4 linked regions of the Tamandua tetradactyla genome follow. The protein of the gene in region 4 purifies or fractionates together with the protein of the main gene of each other region. This does not show direct contact. Links are inferred from orthologs where the notes say so. Each region holds a gene or a part of one and is shown on either strand. Other genes may lie near its edges. The genes, in order: DNAAF10, YLPM1, PFDN2 and PPP1CA.

Region 1 (7,356 bases), on a different chromosome or scaffold from region 4:
ACCAACAAGAAAAGGAAGATGTCAATAAAAGACTGATGGCTTTCTTCACGTTTTTATCTCTTATTCATGGGCCTTTGAGCAAATGATTGGAGGAAGTTCCTCAATAATCAAATCAAGTATGTTTCATACTATATTTATAAAATATTCATTGATCCCAATGGTTTTCACCTCTGGTACTCATTAAAATCCCTTGGGAGGAGCTTAAAAAAGACTGACGTCCAGGCCTCCATCTAGTCTAGATTCACTGAGGCAGAATTTCTAGGAGGGGCGGGGACCAAGGCATGAAAACTTTAAAATACAAAAACCACAGCAACAAAACACGTTCAGGTGGGCCTGATGTGCAGTGAGGGTCGAGAATCACCGAGACTGTATTTCACCCATATTCTTTTCCATTGGACTAACATGCCAAATTCAACGTAAGTTCTTAGCTGTGTTTTTGTTATGTTTTACCATCTTTTGAGCCTCTAGGCTCCTTAGAGGAAGGGGGTCATCTTTCAAATACCTTTGGTCGTTCCTTAGAACTAACTGTGTCTTGGATTAGCAGATTCTCTATGGATAGTTTATGGTAGAAAAAAAGACCTCTAAGGATACAGGTGAAATTTAAAAGTGGCTATTTTTGTGGTTGAGATTGTGGGTAACATTAAATTTCTGCTTAATCCTATCTATATTTTCTAAATATCCTATCACGAACATATTTTACTCTTGTTATAAAGCAAGCTTGCTAAAAAACAAACAAAACAAATTTGCTAGAATTCTCTACAATCTCTACAAAAAAGAAAGAGCGGTATTTCAATCTATGAGTAAGTGTATTTCTGAAATGTGTACAAATTTTCTTATTGAAAAGCAGAAGTCTGCAGATTCTCTGTGGTTCAGCTTCAACTGGCATCTGTTCCTAAAACTTCAGCTTTATGTTTTTCTCTGCTATTCCAATGCTTCCCATTTGTTCAACCCCGAACAATATTTAATAAACCAATATTGGAAATTTCCCAAGTTATATCCTATTTACAGACATACATTCACTCATTCTTTTAACAAATATTTATTGAGTGGCTACCTCTTACAAACCACACTTAAGAAGACACTGACCTTACTCCTTAGGAGCTTACAATCTAGAGATAAAAAGGACAGAACATATATTCCTGGCACACATAAAACGTACTTTAGGAAAACAACAAAAAGGAAAGTTCATTCGTGTGACGCTCAGGAAAAGTTTCCTTTTAAGTCATGTAATCGGAATTGAATGTTACAATAGCAACAGGTGACTGAAGACCAAATGGTAAACAACATAAGCAAAGGTGGAAAAGTACAGGCCATGCCTAGGCATTCTAAATAGACTGCCTGGCTTGAGAAGACAAACTGAACAATAACACAGGCAATTACAGAAATTTAACGTGGATGGAGCCTTATATATCTTCTAATCTAACCTTGCCTATCTAAATTGTGTTCATACTTTAATATAGGTTGAACCCCCATCTCTTCCAAGTATCCATGGAGTTCTCAATCTTTACTGCCTTTGTATAGAACCCTAACCACCTGATTATACCTGATCACTTTTTTCAGGCAATCCAAATCGTCATTTTTTAATTTGCAAAGAGTGATAAAAATTTGTTATCCACCATTATTCTCTAATTCTTTCACTAGTATTCATTACAAAACATATGAATCTGATTTTGCCACATTCTGCTTGATGTCCCATTTCTCTTAAGAGTAAAGGCATAAATCCTTTAAATGGCCTATAAATATTGCAAGGTCTGGTCCCTGCGACCTTCTTTTGCTTCTTAAAACTCTCTCCCACCACTGGGCTTCTGTTTCTTCTGAAAACCTCCTTTTCCACTCCCAGTTTGGCCTATTAACAACTTCTACTTGTCCCAAATCTGTTTTTACTTTCATAAAACCGTTGCATTTTATGCATCTTTGATTATTTAACCGATTATCACCCTCACTAGAAAAGAAACTCCATGAGATCGAGGACCTTGCTAATCACTTGCCGGCGGATACCAGATAATCAATTAATACTTGTTGAAAGAATGAATAGATGTGTTAGGTTGAATGCTTCAACTACTGTAGGCTTCCTGGGGGAAGGGGCCGCTGTGGCTATGCTTGTATGAAAAAGCAATATACTAACAAGGGCTTCGCAACGGACTCTCCAGAACAACTGCCAAATGCCCCTTAAGGCCTCGAACTTATACAAGAATTCCTAACTTCGCTTCCCAGAGGCCTCGCGCTGGACTGCGCCGAGGGTGCTGGAAGAAGGGGCCTGCAGGGCGCGGATGAAATGGCCCGCGGATGAGAATTCAGGACTCGAACGAAAGAATTTTAACACTGAAGCATTCCTCAGTCTGCGGTTAGCTTCGCAAGTCCCGCGCAGCTCGAGCTGTATTTTGGGGGGACGCTGGACGAAGGCTTTAAGCAAAGAGGGATGCAGACCTCAGGATCGGCACTCGCCCCCCAAGGGCAGACCTGGGCAGTCTCCACCCGGCACCCACCTCCCGAAGCAGCTTCAGGTCTCCGTGCTGGATCTCGTACAGCTGAATGACGCCGGTACCCCGTGGGAAGTTGCCCAGCGTCACAAATTTGGCGCTGCAGGGCACCCATTTACAGTCAAACACCGTGTAGTTGAGGCTTTTCTGGATGTGAGAGATGATCTGAGGCTTCTCAAAGGCCGACATGGCCGAGCAGATTTCACTTACAGCAACGGCCACCCCCGACTCTTAAGAAAAAACTAACCTGGCTGGCAGACGCCAAACTTAACTAGTTTGTCCCCCCCCGCTTGCCGTACCTCGCTCCCTAACGTCCTAGGAAGTTGGATTTAGTTATCCAACAAAATGCCAGATGTGCTACCGAGATCACACAAGATTCTCTTTCACCAACGGCATTAACTTGTTTATCGTCGTTACTTACTGACGTTCGCACATATACATATTAGATACTACAAGGTATTTTGGCTGTAGGTTATGCAGCAGTAGTGTGGGCATTAAGAATTAGGCATATTTTAGGATAGGTCCTTCAAAAAAAAATACCGCTTCAGGTCCTCTACGTGGGCCTTCTTAAGGCAGGGGGTGGAGCCTTAGGCCTGGTCGGCAGTGGCTGGATCCTCGGAGGTACGCCTGCGCAGTGGGGCGGCGCACGTGTTTCAACTGGAACAGCCTGCCTGCCCTGCACATATCTGAGGGTGGAAACCAAGATGGAGGCACAGAGCGCTGGGGTGGAGAATGGCTTCACCCAGGTCACCCGCAAGAGTGGCCGGCGGGTGAAGAAACGACAGGCTGAGCAGCTTTCTGTGGCGGAGGACGGCGGGGACCCGGGACGCATGGACACAGAGGAGTCCCGGCCCGCGAAGAGGCCCGTCTTCCCGCCCCTCTCTGGGGACGGGCTCCTGGTACTGGAGGGGGCTGTGGGACTGGAGCGAGGCTGCGGCCAGTGGCCGGTGAAGCCGGTGGCCTGTGGGTGATGTTGAAGCTGCGGGGGCTCTTCTGGTGTGAGAGCTCCTCGTAGAGAAATGACTGCCGAAGTTTAACTCGTTCGGTTAAAAGATTTTTGTGAATCATCTGTCATTTTACAACTCCATTCTCACCCTCCAGACGACTCCTGAGTTGTGTGTTCTTTCATTGTAGGGTGGAAAAGAAGAAACTAGGAAAATTCCAGTACCAGCTAACAGATATACGCCGTTAAAAGAAAACTGGATGAAGATATTTACGCCTGTTGTAGAGCATTTGGGACTTCAGATACGCTTTAATTTGAAATCGAGGAATGTAGAAATCAGGGTAAGGAGAATGTCAATTATTTACAAATAGACTAGGGTTTCTCCTACAGGAATCAAGGATGAATAGACTTTTCTTAATAGAACTTACTTTAAGTGGTTTTCCTCTAGTTTTAATATTTTTATTGAGAAATATCCATACACATATAGGCCAACCGTATTATGCAATATATGATATATAGTTGTGTATTCATTACCATGGTCATTTTTAGAACATTTGCATCACTCCAAAAAAAGAAATAAAAACATAAGATAGCTCCTACATCCTGTACCCCTTACCTCTCCCTCTCTTTGACCCACAGTATTTCAGTGTACCCAGTTTTTACCCTTTAACTACCCGTAGTTGTTTATTTTTATCCTTATTTTTTTACTCATCTGTCCATACCCTGGATAAAAGGAGCGTCACACGCAAGGCTTTTACAATTACACAGTCACATGGTAAAAGTTATGTAGTTATACAGTCTTCTCCAAGAATCAAGGCTACTGAAACACTGTTCAACAATTTCAGATACTTCTCTCTAACCACTTGAATACACCATGAACTAGAAGGGGTATCTGTATAATGCATAAGAATAACCTCCAGGATAACCTCTCAACTCTGCTTGAAATCTCTTAGCCTCTGAGATTTTATTTTGTCTCGTTTCACTCTTCCCCCTTTTGGTCAAGAAGCCTTTCTCATTCTATTGATGCTGGATCCTTGCTCATCCCTGGAAGTCAGGTCCCGTGTTGCCAGGGAGATTTACATCCCTGGGAATTATGTCCCACATAGCGGGGAGGACATTGAGTTCACCTGCCGAATTGACTTAGGTATAATTCTCAGTAGGCTTAGCTTCTCCTTTGCAGAAATAAGCTTCATAGGGGCAAGCCCTAAGATTGAGAGCTCAGCTTATTGAATTATTTGTCTCCACTGCAGAAATTCCCCAGAGGGGGATGTTAAGTATTTCCTGCTTTCTCCCCAATACTTTTTTTTTTTTTTGCATGGGCAGGCACCAGGAATTGAACCCAGGTCTCCAGCTTGTCTATAGGTGAGGACTGTGCCTGCTGAGCCACAGTGGCCTGTTCTGCAAATACTTTTTTATTCTCTGCCCAATTTACTCTGGGATATATCCAGGTATCACACTAACCTGTGCAAACCAGCAAGATCTTCCAACACCCTATTCAAGATTCCATGTAATTATGGTGTTCAAGTAAACTGACCATAAAATTTTAATTAGTTGATATGCTACCCAAAACACAAATTTTGTACCAAATAAAAATCTCTCCCTTTGGTCTCACACAGAGGTTGAAATTTGAAAATATGGGCCATATCATCCTTTACCCAGTATTCTGTTTACCTTAGTCCTATCCAGATCAGCTTCATTCGTATCTCTAGACAAAGTCTGATCTCTTTTTTCACAGTTGCCGAATGGGGTAATGACTTTCATAACTTCAGTGCTCTCTCTCTCAGGTATCACATAAATACCCAGAGTTTCAGGGTATGACCAGGTTATATACAAATAGCTCAGTATCTGAAAATTTAAAAATATCAGTTACAGCTCCGAAATACATGTGACTGCTTTAAGAGTTTACAATCTAGGAACCTTTGCAATAGGCCCCAACCTGATAATCTGTGCTCTCAACTTCAGTTCTCTGTATTTGTTCATCCGTAAGAGTGAGGCATGATAATATTTGCCTTTTTGTTTCTGACATTTTATTTGACATACTGTCCTTAAGATTCATTCACCTAGTTGCATGCCTCACAACTTCATTTCTTCTTGCAGCGCTCAGTAGTCCTCAGTTGTCTGTTGTATATAAACACCACAGTCCATCCTTCCATTCCTCATTTGTTGTATCCTTAGGCCATCTCCATGCATCACAAATGCCGAACACTGCCTCCATAAACACCAGTGTGCAAATGTCCATCCATGTCCCCACACTCAGTTTCTCTAAGATCATATAGCAACCCCACCCCTAGCCTCCTATGAAACCATCACACTGCCCTCCAAAAAAGCTGCACTTCTCAGCTTCCCTACCAGCGGTGAAGAGGTACATTTCTTTGTCCACATTTTCTCTAGCACTTGTTTTTCTCTGTTCATTTTTAAACAATTTTATTTGCACATCATACAATCCAGTCTAAGTAGATAGACATGCCTTTGCCACCATAATCTATATGAAGACATTTCCTTTTTGTTGCCACAGAATCCGTACTCCACCCCTATGCCCCTCACTGTTGACATTTAGTTTTGGCGTAATGCCTTTCTTACATTCAGTGAAAGCTTATTACAGTGTTACCGTTAACTATAGATCGTAGCTTGAATTGATTGTACCTTTTCTTATATATCATCCATTTTCAACCCTTGGCAATGATATTCATTTGTTCTCCCTGATTGTGCATATGTTTTATAGTATTGAATTGAGTTGAGAAAGGGCTGTGAGGAGAGGGTAGTCCTGAGCAAAAATATGTGAATAACATACATTGGTATAAGCAGTCATTTAGGTACTGGATGCATCAGTTTAGGCACTATATAAATGCTGTTTTCTTGGAAATAAAATGTATTCTCTTGAGAATAAATATAAATAAACATATGTTCATTCTATGGTGTCAGTCCAAGAGTTAGGCATTTAAAATTAATTGACTCTGGGCCTCTTTTTCTGGGTACCTATTTTGTATCAGAATTGATGACCAAAATTAATTATATCTTCTTTTTTGAGGATTCTTATGCCTTCATTATGATTAGTATAGACTTGTTCTAGTTTGCTAGCTGCCGGAATGCCATATGCCAGAGACAGGATGGCTTTTAAAAAGGGAAATTTAATAAGTTGCTAGTTTACAGTTCTAAGGCCGAGAAAATGTCCAATTAAAACAAGTCTATAGAATGTCCAGTCAAAGGCATCCAGGGAAAGATACCTTGGTTCAAGAAGGCCAATGAAGTTCAGGGCTTCTCTCTCAGCTGGAAGGGCACATGGTGAACATGGCATCATCTGCTAGCTTTCTCTCCTGGCTTCCTGTTTCATGAAGCTACCCGGGAGGCATTTTCCTTCTTCATCTCCAAAGGTCGTTGGCTGGTGGACTCTCTGCTTCATGGTGCTGCAGCATTCTCTGCTCTTTCTGAATCTCTCATTCTCCAAAATATTTCCTCTTTTATAGGACTCCAGTAAACCAATCAAGACCCACCCAAATGGGTGGAGACATGTCATCCCCTAATCTAGTTTAACAACCATTCTTGACTAAATCACATCATCCAGTGAGATGATCTGATTACAGTTTCAAACATACCATGTTGAATAGAGATTATTCTACCTTTACGAAATGATATTTTGATTAGAACATGGCTTTTCTAGGGGGCATACTTCCTTTCAAATCAGCAGAAGACTCATCTCTCTTGATAGACTATGATGAGGGAACAAAACAGAGAGACACCACTCTAAATAGTTGGTAAAGTTTAAAATGTTGTGAAACTTGACATAATGACTATTTGTTCCCATAGCTGCTCTCAGGTTTTTATTGTTTCTTGCCAACACTTCTTGTGTCCTTATTTCCTTTGCTTTGTTGCTTGGTCTCTTTTTCCTCAAATCCATACTCTATACCAGTGCCGGATTAATTTTCCCAGCTCATG
Region 2 (7,288 bases), on a different chromosome or scaffold from region 4:
TTGGCATTGGCATAAAAAATATTTATCACAACATATAAAAATATTCTAAGTTTAGAACATGACAACACTTGTACCTATGTCAATAAATCTCTGTGGCACTGTCCTAGGTGCTACAGGGGATAAAAAGATGAGCCAGACAGTCCCTGTGTGTAAGGGACTTAGAATCCGAACAACAGAACAAAACCAAATCAGTAAGTACACTTGTGGCTTCACGGAGACCTTGATATTTGAGGTGTGCCTTGAGGAGATCTACTACAAGGAGGGAGAGGGAGGGTAGATAAAGCTGGGATGAATCCTAGATGGAGGAAGGAGAGCCTAAACAAGCTTACAAGGCCCTTCTTGACCTAGCGCATGCAGACCTCTCAAGCCTCATCTTCCACCAATGTCTTTCCAGCTCTCACCAAAGAATTGGAGGCACTGGGTACTCAAGTAAAAAGAAATTTACTATGGACAAGGATTCAAAGGCAGAAAAGCAAAAGCAGCATTTGTAGTCAGATTAAGGATCATACTGATACTGTTGTCCCCTCTCCTCCATAAAAAGTCAAAACAAACAATCCCAGAAATCTAATTAATTTGTCACTCTAAAGGGTTAGAAACAGTCCAGTAGAGAAGAGGATATAAAATCTCATATTTTGGATTGGACTAAGGTATCTGACAACAAAAACACTGGAAATTCCGCGGGGGGGTGGGGGGAAGGAGCCAGAAATTTTGTCTATATAACAGAGAAATCTGGAGGAAACAACCTGGAGGCATGGTACTAATTCGGCATAAACCAACAGAATCAGATACTTACTGCTTTATTCCGGCACCACAAGTGTTTTCTCCTGATGGTGTGCCAAGCATCATTCCTTAAAACAACTTGCCTCTGTTCTTAATTTCTAATACCAAAGCACTGTAAAATTAGAATACTACATCCTTATCTTTTGTAAATATTTTATATGCGAATCTGGGCTTATTGAAAAGACTATTCACTAATAAAAAATAGTGTATTTAGGTTAGTAATTGCTAAAAGTGTCTTTTTAAAGAAATAATAACACATCGTTTTTCCCCTTTAGTTCTACCTTCTCAATGGAGGAATTCATTTATTATCTCTACCCTGTCAATTTTGATCATTCTGTGGGAAGCATCACTTCAAACAGAGAGAGAAATGGATCTCTTACTACTAAGATTCTAATGAAGAGACATCAACTTTTTTTTTTTTTTTTTTATCTTGGTCTAATTCCAAGGCTGCTACTTTGGAGTTAATGGGAGCAACCATGAAATGCAGCAAAGTGGTCATGTCTTAAAACTATCTTCAAGTGATGTGAGGAAAGGATGTATGGGTCAGTTCCTTAAATGGACCAAGAGCCCCCCCAAAAAGGATCAAGTGTCTAGAGAGACATCTATGTATTGATAGGGCAAGCACATTTGGGGAATAAACTATAAAACTTTCACATGTATCTATAAGCATAATTAGGATGCCTCTAATAAGACATTCATCTTTCATTTGCTGAGGCCTCCTTTTTTGGAAGCTGAGAGCTATCAGTGTATCCTAAAAAGAAAAATTTTTTTTAAAGTTAACTGGGTCATAAGGTTTACATGCATTTCAAGTGTCAGCCCTTTGAGAAGCTTCTTTATGTGGCCTCTCAAAAGGAACTTTTAGCTTAAAATACAATTTTAAAACAAGGCCCTCTGCAACAAATTTAGGAAGGAGACTCAAAATATATCTGAGAACTTGAGCCATTCCACTATTCTGTGGTGTCTAGTAACATCTTTAAACAAGGTTCTTTCTGTAATCCACATTTACCTAATTTAAAAGCGGGGTGGAAGGCTCTAGGAGGATCTTTTAGAGTGTAAATTAGCTTGTCATTGTGTATTGGAATTAGGCTAAGCACTGGTTAAAGTCCTGAGGCCTGATCACTTACGGCCCTCTAGGAGAAAGAAGCGGTTCAAACAGAAGCTTTCTTACCTGTGGAGTCATCGTAGAGGGATCTGGCTCCGGGGTAGCTTGCTGCTGTTCAGAACTCTTGTTCTTGGCCCCACTCTCCAAAGACTCTTGCTGGGCAGTGGTCTTATTCCCAGAAGGGGCAGACGGTGGTGGTGGAGCTAGCAGTTGGGATTTAGAATGACCCTGCGTGGGGCGGGAAGGCGATGCCTGAGACGGGGGCAAGTAGGACTGGGAATGGCTCAAATAGGATTGCGAGGAGGAGGAGGAAGAGTAAGATGGGGTGGGCGCCAAGTATGACTGGGACGGTGGGGACTGAGAAGGGGACGGCTGAGCGGCAGGCAGATAGGGCTGGGACGAGGACGGGGGATAGTACGAGGGTGGCGGCTGAGGTGGGGGCATGTAAGATTGAGATGGGGGCATGTAGGACCCCGGCGGCACAGGCGGAGATTCAGGAGGAGAATCCAGCTCCATGGGAACCAAACCAGGAGGCCCGTCTCGTTGGTGGTGGAGCATCTGGTGTTTGTACTGCTGCTGCTTCTGATAGCTGAGGGCCGGCGCGGGCGGCGGGGGCATCGGCGGTGGCTGCCAGTCCCCGTAGCCGCCCCCCGGCATCACCGGTGGGGGCGGCAGGGGGGGCGGGGGAAGGTGGTGGGGCTGGAGCACGCACTGCATTTGCTTCTGATGCATCTGCTGCAACTGCTGGAGCTGCGCCAGGTGCTGCTCGCGGAAGCTCATGAAGCCGGAGGACGTGGGGGCCGCGGGAGTCGTCGAGCTCGAAAACCCGGGGCCCGGCGAGGCCTCAGGAAGCGCCACCGGAGGCGGAGGCGGGACCGGCGGCGGCGGATAGTGGCTGCTCCCGCCATACCGGCCCCAATTCGGGTACATATCGGAGAAGAAGGCGCAGGGCTCGTCCTGGCGCCGTTACTCGTCGCAACCGACCTCCAGGAGCTGCGGCGGCGGCGACAGCCGGAACTCGCGGCACGTATAGGCCCTAGAGCGTGTAAACGGAGCGCGCCAGTGCGCCGGCGCTACGGAGCAGGGCCCGCGACCGGGAAGGCGGGGACGGGCCTGAGGCTGCTACGCCTGCGCAGTAGCCGCCAAGAGGAGAACAAAGGCGAGCTAGAGCGGCCTTTTGCTTGACGACTTTCGGTTGCCACCTTCCTTAGGGTTCTGGTAATGCAGGCTCGAGTAGAATGTTCTCATAGAACAGAGGAACCATAGAGTCTCACAGCTGAAACGCGTTGGTAGAGATCCTATCGCTCCACGGATTCATTTTTGAATGAAAAAAAAAAAGAGGCTCCATTCACAATAGCAACAATCGCAACAACAACAGAAAAACCATAAAAACAACTAGAAATAATTCTAATTAATTCGAATTATTTCTATATGAAGAAAACTACCGAACATTCATATCAAAGAGGGATAAAATTAGGCTTGAAATAATGGACAGGCTTACCATGGTTGTGAATGAAAAGAGGGAAAATAGTAAAGATGTCAATTCTTCTCAAATTAAAAATTAATAGACAAAGTGATATTGCCATGTTAAAGGTGAACATCATTATTGAAAGGGACTGTATTAGAGCCAGGTATCCCACGGATTAACACTACAGAAATAAGTTCTTGCATGAATTACTTAAAAGGTATGAATCTCTTTTTTTCCCCACAATCACACAGTCACATTGCGAAAGCTATATCACTATACAATCATGTTCAAGAAACATGGCTACTGGAACACAGCTCTACATTTTCAGGCAGTTCCCTCCAGCCTCTCCATTACACCTTAACTAAAAAGGTGATACCTATTTAATGTGTAAGAATAACCTCCAGGATAACCTCTCGACTCTGTTTGGAATCTCTCAGCTATTGACACTTTATTTTGTCTCATTTCACTCTTCCCCCTTTTGGTGGAGAAGGTTTTCTCAATCCCTTGATGCTGAGTCCCAGCTCATTCTAGGATTTCTGTCCCACGGTGCCAGGAGGTCCACACCCCTGGGAGTCATGTTCCACGTAGAGAGAGGGAGGGCAATGAATTTGCTTGTTGTGTTGACTGAGAGAGAGAGAGAGAAGCCATATCTGAGCAACTGAAGAGGTTCTCTTGGGGGTGACTCATAGGCCTAATTTTAAGTAGGCTTAGCCTATCCTTTGTGGGGTTAAGTTTCATATGAACAAGGTATGAATCTTATACAGTGTTTATAATATGGGGTAAAGAGGGAAAACTATTGCATTCTACGGCTATGTTTAACAAGAAGACAGCAACAGTACCACAGCAATACCAGGGGTAAATAATTGGGGGCGGGGGATGGGGAGGACAAGAGTTATGGGGTTTGGATTTTCTGTTTGGTGATGGTGTGTTTATTGATTATTATTCTCTGGGGAGCAATGAAAATTGTCTAAAATTGAGAGTGTTGATTATACCACTAAATGAGGATAATGTGAGACATGGGTTGATGACTTTGGATCTTATACATGATGCCCAGTGGATTAAGGTGGCTAAAGGATACACTGAGTGGTAGAATGGTAAACTGTGGTGTATACATATGTTCAAATATTGAGCTGCTACAGAAAGGAATGAAGTCGTGAAGTATGCAATGATGTGATTGAACCTGTGGGGCATTATGTAATGCAAAATAAGCCAGAAACAAAACTGCAACTATTGTATGATCTCATTTAGAAAATACTTATAAGAAAATTGAGACTAGATTGTAAACTCTGATAGCAGTCACATTTAATCCAGAGCTGCAATTGTTATTTCTAGATTTTGAAAGACTGTGCTATATATGTATAACCAACTTTGAGTACCTGTGTGACATGTAAGACCCAGAGTAGGAGGTCTGCAGGTCTGAAAGTCAGCATTGCCACATACAACTGTTAAAGAAACTGAAAAAGATCAGGCTTCAGTTAGAGATAAGAACGAAGCTGATCACATTGGGACTAAGTTAAATCAGAATAAGGGATAAGGATGACATTGTCTGTATTTTAAAACTTCACCTACTCTGAGACCAAAGGAAGAGAGGTTTATTTTGTCCAAAATCTAAATTTTCTGTAGCACATACTCTAACTCGTCTGGATAGAGCATTTTAACAACCCAAACACATGGAGCCCAGAATGGGAATGAGAGCATGTAATTCTAAATAGCTTAATGTATTGCCCGGACACATCCCAGAGTATGTTGAGCAGATAAGTAAAAAAGTATTGGCAAAGTCCCTTGAAGCATGGAAGAAAAAATATGGAACTATTAAACTTTATCACCGGGGAAATCCTTGATACTGTCTCGAACATTGGGGACTCCCAAGACGATATGCCAAGTCCTTGATCTTGAGGCTTGCTCTTGTGAAGCTTACTTATGTATTTATAGGAGAAGCTAAGCCTATCTATAGTTATGCCCAAGAGTTACTTCCAAAGAACCTGTTTTGTTGCTCAGATGTGGCCTCTCTTTCTCTCTAAGCCCAACTCTGCAAGTTAGATCATTACCCTCCCCACTACATAGGTCATGACATAGAGGGGTGAAAATCTCTGTGGCAACGTGGGATATGATTCCTAGGGATGAGCCCGGCCGTGGTACCATGGGATCGACAATGCCTTTCTGACCAAAAGGGGGGAAAGAATTGTAACAAATAAGGTATGGGTGACTGAGAGTTCAAACAGTCAAGAGGCTACTCTGGAGGCTACTCTAGATATTACTAGGTATTATGGTTTTGCAAATTCCAACCAAAACCATTGCTGTCAACCCTAAAGAACATGTAGGGCTTTATCTGAGACTCTACAAAGGTTCCATGCACTATGATTACTTTCGAACCTCCAGATGGGTTCCTAGACCTGATAAATCCTGAAACCCAGAAGGGCTAGCCTCTCCAAAATATCAAATAGTTCCATCCTCCATCCCATATTATCAACAGCTTTTTCCAACATGAAAAAGCTAGAATGGGCATAGCTTAAATACCCCTAAAGACTGGGAGAAAAATTAAAGAAGGTCGAGTTATAACAGAGAAGATAGTATTTAACAAATGAGTATGACTGCTGAATCATTATATATATATATAATATATATGTTATATTTCACAATAAAAAATGAATAGACAACACAATTCTAACCCAGAAAATCAAACTGAAAACAAATCTGTGAAAGAATGGAGACCTATTTTGAAGACGATGTAATACTCCGCACCAATTCCTGCAGGCATATAAAAAGTGACAGCTACAGGAATAAGAGGGGAAATGGAATTCTTTAGAATATCTCAAAACATTTTTTTTAAAAACCCATGTTGGAGAACCTCAAAGCGAAAGTAAAGATAGCAAAAACCAGATACAAAGATTGTCTAGAATAGATGACCTAGAAGATAATTCTTGCAAAAATTTCTCAGTATAGTACTAAACATAAGCTCCTTCTGTGGTTTGAGTGAATCACTAAGAAACAAAGTTAATCCACACTGGATTCTAACTCTGAGACTATAAAGTGTGTCTGTTGTGCACTCCATAAAAAGACCTTGACCTTCCTTCCATTTTAGTAACCCAGATCCTCACCTCTTAGGAAGTGGATATGAGTGCAGAGTGGTGCATACAGGTATACTTCAGAAGCATGAGTTTCATTCTCAAATAGGCATTTAGTTCTGTTCCTTTTTTAACTTTTTATTGAAGTATAACATATATACTAAAAATGATATTAAGTGTAAAGTTTAGTGAATTTCCGCATACCAATCATGCTGTGTACCCAGCACCCAGGTCAAGGAACAGAAAGTTACTCAACCCAGAAACCTCAGTTAATTGTGTTGTTAATATTTTTCATTGGAATTCTCTTTTGAAAAATATAAAAATAAATGTAATTCACTATAGTAATAGATTAAAGGGGAAGATAATGTGATCATTTTACTAGATGGAGGAAAATAATTCGATACACATCAATATCAATATTTTTTAAAAATCTTAGCACACTAGAAATGAAAAGGAACTTCCTTAATCTAATGAAGAGTATCTATTAAGCATCTATTGTAAACACCACACTTAATGGTGAAAGTTGAAAGCTTCACTGACATCAAGAGCCAAATTCCCACTGTCTTCACATCTATTCAGCATTGTACCACAGGCCCTGTTTGCGCAATAAGGCAAGGAAAAAAAAAGATATAAATATTGGAAAAGAAGAAACAAAACTATTATTATTCATGTATGATACTATGTACATAGAAAATTCAGAATAATTACAGATACATTTTAAGAATAAGATTGCTGGATATAAAATCAATATACAAATCAATATATGTACCTATATACAATTTTTATATACCTTTCATTAAGGAAGTGAAAAAGGGAAGTCACAGAGTAGAAGGAAATATTTTGTAACATGTTTAACCTGCAAAGGATCCATAC
Region 3 (6,980 bases), on a different chromosome or scaffold from region 4:
ATATATACAAAAACATAAGAGGGGAAAACTCTCAAAAGACATACCCCCAAATGGTAAGAATAGTTATATTCAGACAGTAGGATTATGAGCAACTTATTTCCTTTTCCTTTCTTTATATTTATTCTTATATTTTCTACTATGGACATGTTTTATATTATGTAATAGGGCAAAAAGATCAACAGTATAACATATATCCTTCTCTGGGTCCTTCACTGCTTACCATATATTCCCAAGTTTTTTGCCATGCATTCCAAGTCTTCTAAGACCTCCGCCCAACTTACTTCTTTAGTATTAAGGAGCACATGTGTTTCTAATTTATACCTTGTGATTTAGCAAAAGTGACCAGTGGTAATTCATGTCAATTGACTTTTTACCCCAACTCTCCTAAATCCTCTGAAATGCAAATGTCAGGAGGATAATATAACCTACTTCAAATGGCAACATTAAATAACAGAAGATAAAACAAGTGAAGTGCCTAGCACAATGTATTACTTGCTTTCATTTTGTTTGTAAGGGACATGTGGCTCAAACTTGCTGTAGAAATAAATCTATTTTTTACCCAGTATTCTCACTGGAACAAAGACAGAGAATGTTAACAAGGAGCAGCTTCAGAACTCAACATCACAACTCCTCAGTCTCCACTGAGAAATAAACTCATCTTTTCCCCCAAACTTGTCTGTCCTTTTACATTCCCTATTACATTACTATCCAACAAAGACATCTTGAGAGACAGCTAAAAAACAAAGATAATCAAGTAGCATTTATTGAGCACATATTATGTTCTAATCACTGTTCAAGGATACTTTATGTGCATCGTCTTACATAGTTTGCAAAATACAGGGATAAGGTAGGTACTATTATTATGTTTTTACAGATGGGGAAGACTAAGAAGTAACTCATTGGTGGTCATATCTATAGTAAAGAGTAGAAATGGGATTCAAACTCAGGTCTGTCTGACCCAGTGCACTTGTTTTTATGCTCTTAGCTATACCCACCATACCAAAGTTCCCTTTCCCACCTACCTCCCAAATTCCACAACCTCCTGCTTAGTCATGGGTTCCTCCCCTAGATGTCCCAAAAGACGGACTGTGTGGCACACTGTAAATTTGTACTGTTCAGTTTGTCTTTTCTCATTTGAGAAAACAAGGACTATTTTGTTTATGTTTCCCTGCACCCAGCAAAATTCCTGGCACATCAGAGTCCCTCAAAATATATTAGGTTTTTTGCACACCGATATTCAAGGTGGCATTATTCACAATTGCCAAAATATGGAAGCAATCCAAGTGTCCATCAATTGATGAATGAATAAATAAAATGCGGTATATTATATATAATGGAACATTATCCAGCAGTAAAAAGGAATGAAGTCCTGATACATGTGACAACATGGATGAACCTTGAAGACATCATGTTGAGTGAAATAAGCCAGATACAAAAAGACAAATATTGTATGATCTCACTGTTTTGAAACAATTAGAATAAGCAAAGTCATAGAGTCAGAATCTAGAATATAGGTTACCAGGGATGGGTGGGGATAGGGAATAGGAAGTTAAGGCTTAAAATGTACAGGGTTCCTACTTGAAATGATGGAAATGTTTTGGTAATGGATGGTGGTGATGGTAGCAGAACATTGTGAATGCAATTAACAGCAATGAAATACATATCCTAATGTGATTAAAAGGGGAAACGTTAGATTGCACATATGTTACCAGTAAAAATTTAAAACAAAAATCCATGGAATTACACTACACAGTGAACCCTGAGTTAAACTATGGACTTTAATAGTATAATTATTAAAACCTGCTATTATCCATTGTAATATATGTTCCACACCAGTGCAAGGTGTCCACGGTGGGGTGGTGTATGGGAATTCTTTATTTCATGCCAACTTTTCTGTAAACCCATAATTTCTCTCATTAAAAAAAAAGTATTTCATTCCTTCTTCCCTTTCTCTTTTCCCCTCCCCCAAATCCCACAGCACTTTACACCTCTCTTCAGACATTGGTCTTCTGTCTCATATAACTTTTGCATGTTTTATTTTCCTTGCCAGGCTATGAGTTCTTGGATGGCAGGAGCAGTTATAAAAATCTTTATACAGACATCTTTGCCTGTTGTACACCGTCAACAAATAACTAATGAATGAACTTGTACTTAAAATAGCCAAGTTTAAATTGCAACCTTATGCCTTTGATTAATTCATTCTATAGTGTGCACGTTGTTGTTTGTTTTCATTTCTACTGTGAATGTTTCTTCTCATACTGATTAAACACTAGTTCCACTATTATCAAACTACAGTTCCTAGTTACAGAAGGCTCTCTGGCTAATTTATCAAACATTTCCCAATGTTAGGTACTGGGAGAAATGCAAATTCCTATCAGAAAGGGTTTCTGGTCTATCAGGAAATTCAATCTAGTAAAGACTCCAGAATCAAAATAGTATTGAACACTAAACTGTTCGAATATGTGTCACGTGGCTCTGCAGAGTGACGGCGACTGTCAACGTGGTTCCAGGGTCACAAAACAGACTACGAAAGCAGCCCGTTAACTAAGCTCCTGCGATTCGTTATGACTGCCTTGCCCGACCATACCCTGTTTGGGGGTGCAAAGGAGAGGTGGGGCAATTCCTTGACGACCTATCTTCCCTCAGATCTGTACATCCTCCCAGGCCCTACAAACCAGGGCTTTCCCTTACTCCGGTTTTACCTACCATCCCAGACAATGTCGAGCTTTCACCAAGCCACCCGCCCACTCTCTCCTCCGGAGCTCACCTAGCTTCTCCAAGGACCCTCCCCTCTTTGAGTGGCCATGAGGATTGGAGCAAAGGCCTGTACAAGCAACAGACCCCTCCCTTTCGCGCACTGACTCCGGGCTCTGCGGGAGATACTCTTCTTGGCATTCCCGGATTCTCACCTGCTCAGCGGACACCGCCCCCTTCCCGGCGCCGGTCCCGCAGCTCTTGCCGGAACGACCGCTGTTGTCCGCCATCTTCGCCGCCTGCCGGTTTCCGGCCTGCGCAGTTCAGCCTCCGTCTGACGCCACATCCGGTCTCGATGTTACCGCCCACTCGTCCCTGGCTTCTCTAGCTCTTGGCGGCTCTTCGGTTCGGCTCTTGCGAATGGTTTTGGCCGTATCTTCATGTAGGACCTACTCCCCATCCTGCCGGCCGCGGTGAATTCCACCTGCGGTGCTTTAACTTGTGTAACAGAGACGCTGTCCCCTGGCAGAGGCGGGAAAGGAGTGGCTGTCTGGAGGCTGGGAGCGCGGATTGGGATACGGGTTCTTGTGCCCTCTGCCCCCGTGGGGTGGCCGAGGACAGGGGAGGGTGAATTTTCCCCTAGATTGTCCCGGTGTAAGGGGGGCAAATATACTTTAAGCCAATAAAGCTGTGCAGATGCAGAATCAAGAAGAGAGGCCTGGGAAAACCAAGAAAGTTTCCCGGAGGTGACTTTTGAACTGTGGAGACGTTTAGCACGGGAAAAGGGTTCAATTTAATGTTAGATCACTGGAAGACTGGAAGTCGAGATATTCAGGCACTGAACAGCTTTCCGTCCTCTATCTTCCCACCTTATGATCTCTTCCTGTAGCCCATAATTACTTAAAGTGTGTTTTGGAGACTTATTTTTACTGGCAGGACCCTGATCCACCTCGCAGTATGAAGAGAAGTTAGAAAACTCTAGGAAGTTATTGCTTGAGGGTGGGGTTGGTGTCCTGATTTCTCACCTTTCTCAGGTTGGGCTTCATCATCAGGCCTAACCAGCTCCTGTCCCTTCTTCTGTGTCCTGGACTCCGGATACCTCGACTCTCAGTACTTTGTACCCAGCCCAGGTAACAAGTTTTGTTGTGTTCTGATTGTCTAACATATTGAAAAATGCTTGTTATATGAATGGTTGGTGGGAGACAGTGGTGTGCCAGCCATCCACAGAACATTTGCTTGGCAAGCCCCACTAGGCCTAAGTCAGTGTATCCTCTAAGAGCAGATTCAAAAGGAAATTAGGGTGGGCCACGGTGGCTCAGCAGGCACAGTTCTTGCTTGCCATGCTGGAGACTCGGGTTCGATTCCTGGTGCCTGCCCATACATTAAAAAAAAAGGAAATTAGCTTTCCTGACTCCCCATTTGAGTCCCTTATCCTTAAACTAGGGTTTCCTCATACTGAGAAATTTGATAATCCTGCCTGTGTCATTCACAGGCCCAGAGCCATGGCCATCTCCTCTTCCTCCTGGGAACTGCCTCTGGTGGCTGTGTGTCAGGTAACATCAACACCAGACAAGCAACAGAACTTTAAAATGTGTGCTGAGCTGGTTCGAGAGGCTGCCAGACTGGGTGCTTGCCTGGCTTTCCTGCCTGAGGCATTTGACTTCATTGCACGGGACCCTGCAGAGACACTACGCCTGTCTGAGCCACTGGGTGGGAACCTTGTGGGAGAATATACCCAGCTTGCCAGGTATCAGGGAAAGGGGGAGGGAGAGGTAAAATCATTGGGCAGTGTTCCTGGTTTAGGTTAAGAGGATAGAGCCTTGAGAGAGTTTTCAATGTCCCCCTCTCTCCAGGGAATGTGGACTCTGGCTGTCCTTGGGTGGTTTTCATGAGCGTGGCCAAGACTGGGAGCAGACTCAGAAAATCTACAATTGTCATGTGCTTCTGAACAACAAGGGTGAGACTTTACAACTGTTTAGCCTACCTTTCCCAGGCTCGTCTTCCTAAACTCAAGTCCCTAGAATTGTGTGTCTCAACAGTGCTTCCTTGGCCTAGGGTTTTAGAGGTGTTTGTACTTCTGTTTCTAGTCTATAAGTCATCTCCTCTTGGGAGGGGAGGAGCTAAACTGGGCTCCTAGCACATCAGCACTGAGTATCCTTCTCCCTCTTACTCTAGGGTCAGTGGTAGCCACTTACAGAAAGACACATCTGTGTGATGTAGAGATTCCAGGGCAGGGGCCCATGCATGAGAGTAACTCTACCACACCTGGACCCAGCCTTGAGTCACCTATCAGTACACCAGCAGGCAAGGTGGGAGTTGTGAAAGGATGAGGGTGGGAGAGGCACAAGAGGGAGGGGAATAGAAATATTTTGAAGTGGGTGGTAGTAGAGGATATAAAGCTCTAAGGAAAGGGGCAAGGCAAGGGGGCTTAAGCAGGTTACTTTCTATTACAGATTGGTCTAGCTATCTGCTATGACCTGCGGTTCCCTGAACTCTCCCTGGCATTGGCTCAGGCTGGAGCAGAAATACTTACCTACCCTTCAGCTTTTGGATCTGTTACAGGCCCAGCCCACTGGGAGGTAAGAGGACACCTCTTTGAAACTTAAGGGCCTTTCCTTAACCTTCTCTTCCCCTTCCTACTTGGTAGGAAGTCATTTCCTAGATTGTTGCCTGGCTCTCATGTGTTACAAAATAGTAAACATAGTAAACCATTCCTTGGCAATAATCAGAATGGTAACAGTGGGTACATCATACACTTGGTCTGTAACATCCATCTCCTGTCACTTCTTCATTAGCAACTGCATGTAGTTAAGTAAACACACATCTCCTCATCCTCCAGGTGCTGCTGCGAGCCCGTGCCATTGAAACCCAGTGCTATGTAGTGGCAGCAGCACAATGTGGGCGCCACCATGAGACAAGATCAAGTTATGGCCACAGCATGGTGGTGGATCCCTGGGGAACAGTGGTGGCACGCTGCTCTGAGGGGCCAGGTCTCTGTCTTGCCCGAATTGACCTCAACTATCTGCGACAGTTACGCCAACACCTGCCTGTCTTCCAGCACCGCAGGCCTGACCTCTATGGCAATCTGGGTCACCCATCATCTTAAGCCTTTTGACTTTTGTGAGTTGAGACTCCCATTATGAGCTGGTAGTGCCATGACTTTTGAGCAGGACCCAGGTGCAGCTCCCCTCACTCGGAGAACCTTGACTCTTGATGGGACACAGGCTCAGCTTCTTGGGAAAGAAGAAACTTTCACCTGAGCTCAGATTTCAGTTTCAGAAAGGTGGAATTTTATATAGCCACTGTTTATTTCATGAAAACTGGAGTAACTCTGAGGGCTGAGCAGCACTGGCATTGAGAAAAATATAATAATCATAAAGTCTGTGTTTGGATATCTCCTTTGGAAATTGCAAAGGGAGGTGGTATTGCATCTGCTGGTCTAGGCTCCAGTTCTAGGTTTCCTGGCTCATTCAGCATGCCTCCCTATGTAAATAAAAGTGCAACACTCAGTGCATGTCCCAGCCCCATTCTCCCAAGGGGTTAGAGAATGGGGAAGAAAAAAGAAAAGAGTTGATACTGAATTACTTCACTTGGTGATGCCCTTTGCCCAAGCCAGAAGAAAGCAAAGGGGAAAAGGGCTGCAGGGTACATTATTTATTTTTACTTGAACATGGGAGGAAAATGTCACACTCCCCCTTCCCCTTTTTAGGGGGAGTGTACCTTTTCGACTCAGCAACGTCTTCTCCACCTATCCTGTGTATGTATGTGTGAACACACACACACACTACAGTTGGAAGAGTGACTAGGCTGACCCAGTTCTCTCTTACCTATTACTCTCTTAAAGAGGATTTTCTAAACGGGGAAAAAATGAGCCACACCAGGCAAAGTTTTCAAGCCATGAATGGAGGAAAGGAGGCAGAGAGGAGCAGCACCAGATGCCAGGAGAGACTGGAAAGGGCCACAGCTTCTTTGTTTTATAAAAATTCTGTAATTTGGGAGAGGATGGTGATTAATTTCCAAATACACTTGAGACCCACCTTCCACATAGCTCCCTTACTCACAGCCCTTTGGTTTTGCAGACAAAATTTAAGAGCCCTCATAAAGCCAGAAGTATTGATAACCCCTCATTGCACCCAAAAGCAGTGTTCACGTCAATCTCTTATGAAGACTCTGTTCTATAGACTTTTCTTTTCCCTACACATTTGTCTTACGGCTCAGTGGTAAGGTAGCTGTAGAGACACAAATTAGGGGTATTTGGAAAAGGGAAACAAAGGGGAAGCCCAAGC
Region 4 (7,835 bases):
GCAGCGTGATTTCTATACAATCAATCCATCATCTGGGGCAGAGGGGCAGGCCCGGGGCGGCTACTTCTTGGCTTTGGCGGAATTACGTGGTGGAGTGATGGGCCGGCCCCCTGGGTTCAGGCCACTGAACTGCCCGTATTTCCCCTTGTTCTTGTCAGCGGGCTTGAGGATCTAGAAAACAGACATAGCTGGTAAGGCTCACTGGGCTGAGGCCCAGGACCCTTGGTCCCTTCTTCCCCTGCACCCACCTGGAAGGAGCACATGAGGGTCTCATCCACGCTCATCATGGCACCTGCGTTGTCAAACTCGCCACAGTAGTTGGGAGCTGAGAAAAGTGTCACCAGCTGCCGCTTGGCAAAGAACTCGTAGCCATCTTCTACCACCTGGCAAGGATGGGCGTGGTCAGCCCAGCCTGTGCGGCCCTACCCAGCCCCCACTCCCTGCCCCACCCAGAGAGGCCAGCCCACCTGGTGCGCCCGGCAGATGAGGTCCAAGTCATGCTTATGCAGGAACTTAGCCACCACCTCAGCCCCAAAAGTAAAGGAGACCCCACGGTCGTTCTCGCCCCAGCCCTGCACATCCTTGTCAGGGTCCGACCACAGCAGATCGCACAGCAGACCCTGGTCAGGCACATCTGTGGGCCGCATGATCCGCCGAATCTGTTCCATGGACTGCAGGTCCGGGGACAGGCCTGCGGGGTACAGGGAGGACAGTCAACTCCTCAAACAAGCCTCAAAACCAGACCCCCTCTCCGAGGGAGCCTTTGCCAACCAGCCTCACTCTTCCTACCACCACCATCTGGCCCCTCTCCTGGACCCGTGGGGGCTCAGGCAGCCAGAGCTGGCCCTCCTTCCCTCTGCATGTCTGAGGCCCTGAGCACAGAGGCAAACCAGCCAGAGAAGCCCCTGCCCTCAAGGAACACAGCGCTTGGAAGAAAGATGAACTCCTTGAGAGCAGAATGCTGAGCACCACAAGAAACTGCCTAATGGCGGGGGTGTGGCAGTACAGCTTCCTCAAGAGAAGGCATCTAACCCCCAAGACAGCTAACGGAACTTTATTCCAGGGCCCCGGGGATGTGGCTGGGGCTTTTAGCTTCCAAGGAGGCCCTCTCACCTCCATGGCAGCAGAAGATCTTCTCGTCCACTATGGCCGCGATAGGCAGGCAGTTGAAGCAGTCGGTGAAGGTTTTCCATAGTTTAATGTTGTAGCGTCTCTTGCCTGCCCAGAGGAGGGAGATGCCGGCCTGTGAGGAGGCTGCCCGCCCCACCCGCAGCCTGGTTCTCTGAGGCGCTTTGCAGGCTGGTCAGACACAGCTGAGGGAAGAGAGTGGAAGGCGGGGAGGGCTCGCCCTCCCACCCCACCCGCACTGTGGACCACCTTCCAAGATGGAATTCAAAGCATCTCAGTCCACAGGAACCCAACAGGATCCGTAGAGTTGGCACACACACGCACCCCCCCACACACACACCTGCCCCAACCCATGAGCAGGCCAAGGTGGGGTCTGGCCTATCTCCATTTCTCTTCTGGCCAGCAGATCCCAGCCCAGCTCGACACCCTAAGTGCTTAAGCAGCGGATGTCCTGGGGGTGGGGGAGTCACCAGGCAGGGCCTTGAGGAAAAGCATTAAGAATATGGGCAGCCCTCCAGTCAGCATCCATTCACCAAACCCTTCCAAGTGCCAGGCCCCATGCCAGGAGGGCGGGGCAGCCAGAAATGAACTGAACCCGGCCCTGCAAGCTCAGTCTAGCAGGTACCTGCCAGACACTGATATGGCTAATGCCAGGCCAACAGGAGGGTCCCACAGAACAGGGATGAGCCCTTCAGGAGTCGAGCAGCCACCACACCCCGGGACCACTCACACTCATCGTAGAAGCCGTAGATGCGGTTGATGCTGGCACACTCGTGGTTCCCACGAAGCAGGAAGAAGTTCTCAGGGTACTTGATCTTATAGGCCAGCAGCAGGCAGATAGTCTCCAATGACTGCTTGCCCCGGTCCACGTAGTCCCCCAGGAAGAGGTAGTTGCTCTCCGGTGGGAAGCCGCCGTACTCAAACAGCCGCAGAAGGTCGTAGTACTGACCATGGATGTCACCTGGGACCCAGGGAATCCGGTCAGCACCAGGTGCAGTGCCTGGACTGGCTTCCTCAAGGGAGGAGGAATCCATGAACTTGGAGTGGGGGTGGTGGAGGGGTGTGGGGTGGGTAATGCCATTTTCAGGAAGCCCAAGGGGGCTGGGGCAGGGAACTCACCGCAGATCTTGAGGGGTGCCTCTAACTCCAGAAGAATGGGCTGGCTCAGGAAAATCTCCCGGGATTTGAGGCACAGACCACGGATCTCATTCTCTGTCAGCTGCACATTCTTTCCAGGCCGCGAGCCTTGCACTGGGAATGCGGAATGGGGCGTCAGGACCCCGGCCTCTGAGGTCCTGGGGAGCCAGAGGGTGGCGATATACAGGCGACCGCCCCAGGGGAACCTCTGTATTCGTCTGGGTCTCTCCCGACACCCCTCCTCGACCAGGACCTGTCTCATGCCCCCCAAAACAAGGCCCTCGAGAAAAGGGTGCGCTGGGGTCCCCCCACTCAAAACCTAATATCGCAGAACCCCTTTCCCGGGCTGGGATTCTCAGGGCTCTCCCTCACTCTAGGAGCCCCAGGCCACCGTGTGCGCTCCCGGGAGAGAGGGCTGCTTCGCGTGCCCGATCGGACCCCAGACCCCTCAGGGAGCCCGCGACAGGGGTGGGGGAGGCGGCTGGACCTCGCGGCCCGTCCCCGCCCAGTCTCCACTGGCCCCGGGAGGGGCAGGCCCGCCCGCGCGCCACTTCCGGGCTGGGCAGCGGGCCAGGGCGCGGCGGGCGCGGCCCTCCCCGGCCTCAGCCAACCTTCCAGCAGGCGCCCGATGATAGAGTCCAAGTTGAGCTTCTCGCTGTCGGACATGGCGGCGCCGCCGCTCCGGCCCTACAGCTCCGAGCCCGCAGCTGCCTCCCGCCCTCCCGCCGCCTCCTTCCGGCCTGGCTCTCCTTCCGCCCGCCCGGACCCGCCCCCGCCCCCGCCCCCCGTCGCCCGGGCCCGCCCCCCAGGCCCGCCTCCGCCCTGTGCCCCGACCCCACGCTCTAGCGCCTCTGCTGGGCAGGAGGCGCACAGGCCGCGGTAGCCCGGGGGCGGGGCCTCTGGGGGCGAGGCGGGGCTTGGCGCGACTAGGGCGGGATCTTGCTGAGGTGCTCGGGGCGGGGTTCGTGTGGGCGGGGCCAGGCCCCGCCCACAAAGAGTCGCCCAGACGCGCTCCGAGGTTAAGGGACCGGAAACGCTGTGGAAGTTGTTTTTCTCTTGCAGAGACTCGTCAGCCTTCATCAACCCTGCTCTAGGCGGAGGGTGGTATGAGCGCGTGAATAACCGCGAGGAACCCCAGCCCAGACCGCCTCCTAAAACACTGCGGGTTAAATCCTCAAAGTTTCCGGAAAAGGAAACTGAGGCTCAGAGTTAGCAAGGGGCTGGCCCAACACGGGGGACTCACGTTCGCGGAGGCCCTCATCCTTCTGAGTCTTTGTGGGGTCCAAGGACACCTGTTCCTGAACTCCAAGCCATAGTCAGGTCCTCCCGGCCTCTGTGCATGCAAAAATCTTTATGGGTCCCACAGTTACCACGTGAGAAGCACAATATGCTGTATGTGTGCCTGTTAAAAGGCTTCCCCCCTGAATATCAAACATTAAGTAAACCAGAATTCTTATTGGAGCCCTGACTTGGGTGTCTTACATACCAGGAACCTCAAAAGTGGAGGCAGCCTGGCCTCTGCCTCTGGCAGACCCTGGCCAATCACACCCCACCCAGGAACCCACCCAGCCCACGGGGAGGGAGGGAGGAGCCCACGGCCGGCCCAGGGGCTGACAGGAAGAGCCTCAGAGAGGAAGGGGTGACACCTCCCCCCCACACCTTGGGAGGGGCCCGGAGCCGGTTTGCTGTAGCTGTGGCTGAGGAGGAAGTGAGAGGAGGAGGGTCAGGTATGGCCGGGTGGGGAGCCCGGGCTGCCGGGGAGAGGGGCTGGGCCTGGGGCTCCATACAGAGGTCAGGCTTTTCTGCCACGTCAGGGCCTTCCCTCCCTCAAAAGAAGAGGGGATGTCCGGGGCTTGGCGGGATGCTCTGAAACCTGCCGGCTCCAACCCCACATTTTGGCTCTGGGGCTAGGAACTGATGGGAGCCCAGGCCCCAGGCTGGCCAGCGGCCACCCCTTAGACTGGCTCTCCCCCATGTCTTACAGCCTGAACCTGTGGCATCACAGTCGGGGGCACCATGGCCCAGGCCCTGGGGCAGGACCTGGTGCAGCCTTCCGAGCTGCAGGATGACTCCAGCTCTTTGGGGTCCGACTCTGAGCTAAGTGGACCCGGCCCGTATCGCCAGGCTGACCGCTATGGCTTCATTGGGGGCAGCTCAGCGGACCTTGGGTAAGTGGGATGGAGTGGGGTGGGGAAGCCGGGACTGAGGATGGGGTCTGGATTCCAAAGTGAGGTGTTCAAAGGTCTGGGAGGGTGTGGCAGTAGGGACTGAGCTAGACACTGAGCCAGATCACCTCTCTTCTCTCCTTCAGGTGAAACTTTAAGGTGGAAAAGGCTGGGGGGGGGGTGTGTGTTGGGGGAGGAGGGATTTGTTCCAAATGTCTCTTGTACTCCCAAACCTCCAAGGGTTTGCACCCTCTCCTGCGGCTGAACAGCCTTCCCTTTTTAGTCTCTAGCCCAGGAATCCCAGATCCAAACCATAGAACCCACAACACCTAGCCCCTCCCCAAAAGTGCAGACAGGAAAACAGAGCCAGAGACAGGTAGGAACTTGTCCAAGCAGATCAGAGACGGAACCAGAGTCAAACTCTGAATCCCTGGCTGCCAGTCCAGGATGCTGGACCAGCCAGCTTTCCCTATGAGTTATCTGTGTCCCTGTCCTGGGCAGGGTGGTTGAGGGGGAATAGCCAGCCAACCCCTCCCCCCATGCACACCCCTCAGTCTCTCTTGCTTCCGCCCATATCAGAGGCCACATCCTTTCCCATCCCCATGACAACATTGCCAGCTCTTGGTTACAGGTCATCGGCAGGAGCAGGAGCTGGGCTCAGGTGGGAGCATGGGGGGCGGTTCGCAGGAGTGGGTCCTAGGAAACAGCTGCCCGACACCTGGCTACCTATGCATGTGTCCCCAGCCCAGGTCAGGCCCCTGCAGACCTTATCCGCCAGCGGGAGATGAAGTGGGTGGAGATGACGTCACACTGGGAGAAAACCATGTCTCGCCGGTACAAGAAGGTGAGGGGGAGGGTGGCCCATTCCCCTCGGCCTGGAGCCAGCCCCTGACAAGGGCCACCCATCCCTCCAGCCCCCGCAGATGCTGCTTTTGCTCCCTGCCTGGGGGCACGGCCTGCTGGGGGCCGGCCAAGGGCAGCAGGTAAGGCTGGTGAGGTTGGCTAAGGTTGCCCCGGCCTCACCTGCAGGTAAAGATGCAGTGCCGGAAAGGTATCCCCTCAGCCCTGCGGGCGCGCTGCTGGCCCCTGCTGTGTGGGGCCCACGTGTGTAAACAGAACAGCCCCGGTACCTATCAGGTGAGCGAGTGGGCAGGGTTCCTGCCTCCCCTTCCCAGAGCCCTTTGCCATTTCTAGCCGTGACCCCCGCCTCCCCCTGACAGGAGCTGGCCTCGGCCCCCGGAGACCCACAGTGGATGGAGACCATTGGCAGGGACCTGCACCGCCAGTTCCCTCTGCACGAGATGTTTGTGTCACCTCAAGGTCATGGGTACGAGGCTGGTGATGGCCAGGGACCCCCAGGCCCCCAGCCCCAGGTCCTCTGGCCCAGCCCTCCTCCCCCTCGCCCAGCTTCACATCCTTTTATCTCAGGGGAGCCAGGAAGGCTGAGGCCTAGCACAGAGGTCACTAGAGGGTGGGCAAGGGACACCCTGGGGGACTGGCCCCTAACGGGGTCTTCTGGCACAGGCAGCAGGGGCTCCAGCAGGTTCTCAAGGCCTACACCCTGTATCGGCCAGAACAGGGCTACTGCCAGGCCCAGGGACCCGTGGCCGCCGTGCTACTCATGCACCTGCCCCCAGAGGTGAGTGACCCTTGACCTTGTTCCAGGGACCCGAGACCCTGACCCCGGAGCCCCAGTGGCCCAGGTGTCCCCCACCATGATTCTGAGCTCTGCACCCATAGCCCCCAACCCTAGGGACTCTGACCCCCAGTCCCTGTCTCAGTGACCCGGGGTCTCATGATTGCCACCTTCAGTGGCATTCAACCCCAATGACCTTGATCCCAGAAACGTGGGGGGCCCTTGACTTTATCCCCTTAAGCTCACAACTCCCGATTCTGAACCCTGCCACCATGACCTCTGACCCGAATGACTCCAGGAACCCCAGGCCTTGAACTTTGGGATGCTCCCAACCATTGACCAGTGAGCTTCAATCCTGTGACCCCCCCCTCCCCAATTCACCATCCCGAGCCATATAACTCTCGGCTCCGTAAACCCACCACCAGGCCCCCGACTGGGCCCAGGGCAGAGGCTCTGAGAGGGACCCCAGAGTCACCCCAGCTGCTTCCCAGGCTCCTGGGTCCTGCCCTGCCTGCCCCTCTGTGGGGGGCACTCACGGGCCTGTGCCTTGCCCACCCCCCACCCCCCAGGAGGCCTTTTGGTGCCTGGTACAGATCTGTGAGGTCTACCTCCCTGGCTACTATGGACCCCACATGGTGAGAGGCTGGGATGGGGGCCCCTGTGAGCGGGGATGGGGTGGGCGCTGGCGGGGGGAGCCGCCTGAGGAGGGCTGAAGCCTGGGGTTTGGGAGAGGGGTGGGGAGCGGGTGGGGCGCCGGGTGGGGAGAGGCTGATGGCTGTGGGCGCAGGAGGCCGTGCGGCTGGATGCCGAGGTGTTTGCGGCGCTGCTGCGGCGGCTGCTTCCGCGCGTGCATAGGCACCTGCAGCAGGTGGGCGTCGGGCCCCTGCTCTACCTGCCCGAGTGGTTCCTGTGCCTCTTCGCCCGCTCCCTGCCCTTCCCCACCGTGCTGCGTGTCTGGGACGCCTTCCTCAGTGAAGGTGAGTGGGCGCCAGGGCTGGAGCCTTGGGTGGGGGAGGGGGGGAGCGGGGACCCTGCCCCGGGGAGCTCAGCTGGCCGGCCCTGAATGCGCTCTGCTCTGCCCGGGCAGACCCCAGCACCTGAGAGGCCCTCCTGGGGCCCGGCTGTGATGAGGTGAGGGTGATGGCGGCGGCCACAGCACATGCAGTTGGCGCATTTGTTTGCTGCCTCCCCTCTGTGCTGGACAGGGTGCCTGGCCCTGGGGGGAGCAGGCGCAGGGGCCCAGGGCCTGTCCCTAGGAACCCCCTGGTAGGGGATGGGAAAACACAGGGAGTGGTAAGACGAATCCTGGAGGACCAGCACCAAGGGGGGCTTCCACAGAGGCAGATGGGCAGGAGCTGGGGGGCACAGCAGGTGCAGAGGCCCAGGGCCTGGGGCGAGGCCGGCCCACGGGCACCGCAGTGGCACTTCCCCCCAGCCATATGCCCCATGCTCGGGGGTGCCAGGTGCTGCCCTGCAAGCTGGGGCTGACTGCGCGCGTGGCGGGGACTGCAGGGGAAAGATGCTGGAGGATGGGGTGTGGAGAGAGGGGGATGGGGGATGGGATAAGCCAAGAAGGGGAGGGGAGCCGGGCCAAGCTGGGCTGAATTCTCAGGGGCTTCCGCCTGCACAAGGACCTCTTCATGTTCTTCAAGCAATGTGGGGTGGCAGCACCTCAAAAATGGTGGCGAACCATAGGTGAATTTATTGAGTAGCTGTTGGGTGCCCAATCGGCTCCAGGGCTTTCCCTCAGGGAGAGGGCAGCTGGCTGC

The links.
Region 1: the proteins of PPP1CA (region 4) and DNAAF10 purify together in Homo sapiens (affinity purification with mass spectrometry; 6 studies listed by BioGRID and IntAct, counting the BioPlex papers as one, with this or other methods). This does not show direct contact. The link is inferred for Tamandua tetradactyla from reciprocal best matches to the Homo sapiens genes PPP1CA and DNAAF10.
Region 2: the proteins of PPP1CA (region 4) and YLPM1 purify together in Homo sapiens (affinity purification with mass spectrometry; 3 studies listed by BioGRID and IntAct, counting the BioPlex papers as one, with this or other methods). This does not show direct contact. The link is inferred for Tamandua tetradactyla from reciprocal best matches to the Homo sapiens genes PPP1CA and YLPM1.
Region 3: the proteins of PPP1CA (region 4) and PFDN2 purify together in Homo sapiens (affinity purification with mass spectrometry; 3 studies listed by BioGRID and IntAct, with this or other methods). This does not show direct contact. The link is inferred for Tamandua tetradactyla from reciprocal best matches to the Homo sapiens genes PPP1CA and PFDN2.

Annotation. Positions count from the first base shown.
Region 1 is NC_135343.1:41,450,571-41,457,926, forward strand, and holds the start of DNAAF10 (dynein axonemal assembly factor 10), read right to left. Parts: upstream 3,005-7,356; 5' UTR 2,670-3,004; coding exon 2,487-2,669; intron 1-2,486. Other genes in the region: RNA-binding protein PNO1, read left to right, coding at 3,185-3,379, 3,615-3,764. UniProt on the Homo sapiens protein: Key assembly factor specifically required for the stability of axonemal dynein heavy chains in cytoplasm.
Region 2 is NC_135338.1:33,830,429-33,837,716, reverse strand, and holds the start of YLPM1 (YLP motif-containing protein 1), read right to left. Parts: upstream 3,005-7,288; 5' UTR 2,813-3,004; coding exon 1,949-2,812; intron 1-1,948. UniProt on the Homo sapiens protein: Plays a role in the reduction of telomerase activity during differentiation of embryonic stem cells by binding to the core promoter of TERT and controlling its down-regulation.
Region 3 is NC_135330.1:14,265,199-14,272,178, forward strand, and holds the start of PFDN2 (prefoldin subunit 2), read right to left. Parts: upstream 3,018-6,980; 5' UTR 2,985-3,017; coding exon 2,910-2,984; intron 1-2,909. Other genes in the region: NIT1 (deaminated glutathione amidase), read left to right, coding at 3,115-3,167, 3,729-3,824, 4,187-4,441, 4,548-4,651, 4,870-5,003, 5,148-5,273, 5,534-5,800. UniProt on the Homo sapiens protein: Binds specifically to cytosolic chaperonin (c-CPN) and transfers target proteins to it. Binds to nascent polypeptide chain and promotes folding in an environment in which there are many competing pathways for nonnative proteins.
Region 4 is NC_135335.1:6,994,223-7,002,057, reverse strand, and holds the start of PPP1CA (serine/threonine-protein phosphatase PP1-alpha catalytic subunit), read right to left. Parts: upstream 3,010-7,835; 5' UTR 2,932-3,009; coding exon 2,877-2,931; intron 2,380-2,876; coding exon 2,248-2,379; intron 2,090-2,247; coding exon 1,859-2,089; intron 1,318-1,858; exon of another isoform or gene 1,219-1,317; coding exon 1,114-1,218; exon of another isoform or gene 692-1,113; coding exon 468-691; exon of another isoform or gene 384-467; coding exon 249-383; exon of another isoform or gene 172-248; coding exon 61-171; 3' UTR 1-60. Other genes in the region: TBC1D10C (carabin), read left to right, coding at 4,282-4,433, 5,175-5,274, 5,460-5,567, 5,651-5,757, 5,955-6,069, 6,636-6,701, 6,854-7,043. UniProt on the Homo sapiens protein: Protein phosphatase that associates with over 200 regulatory proteins to form highly specific holoenzymes which dephosphorylate hundreds of biological targets.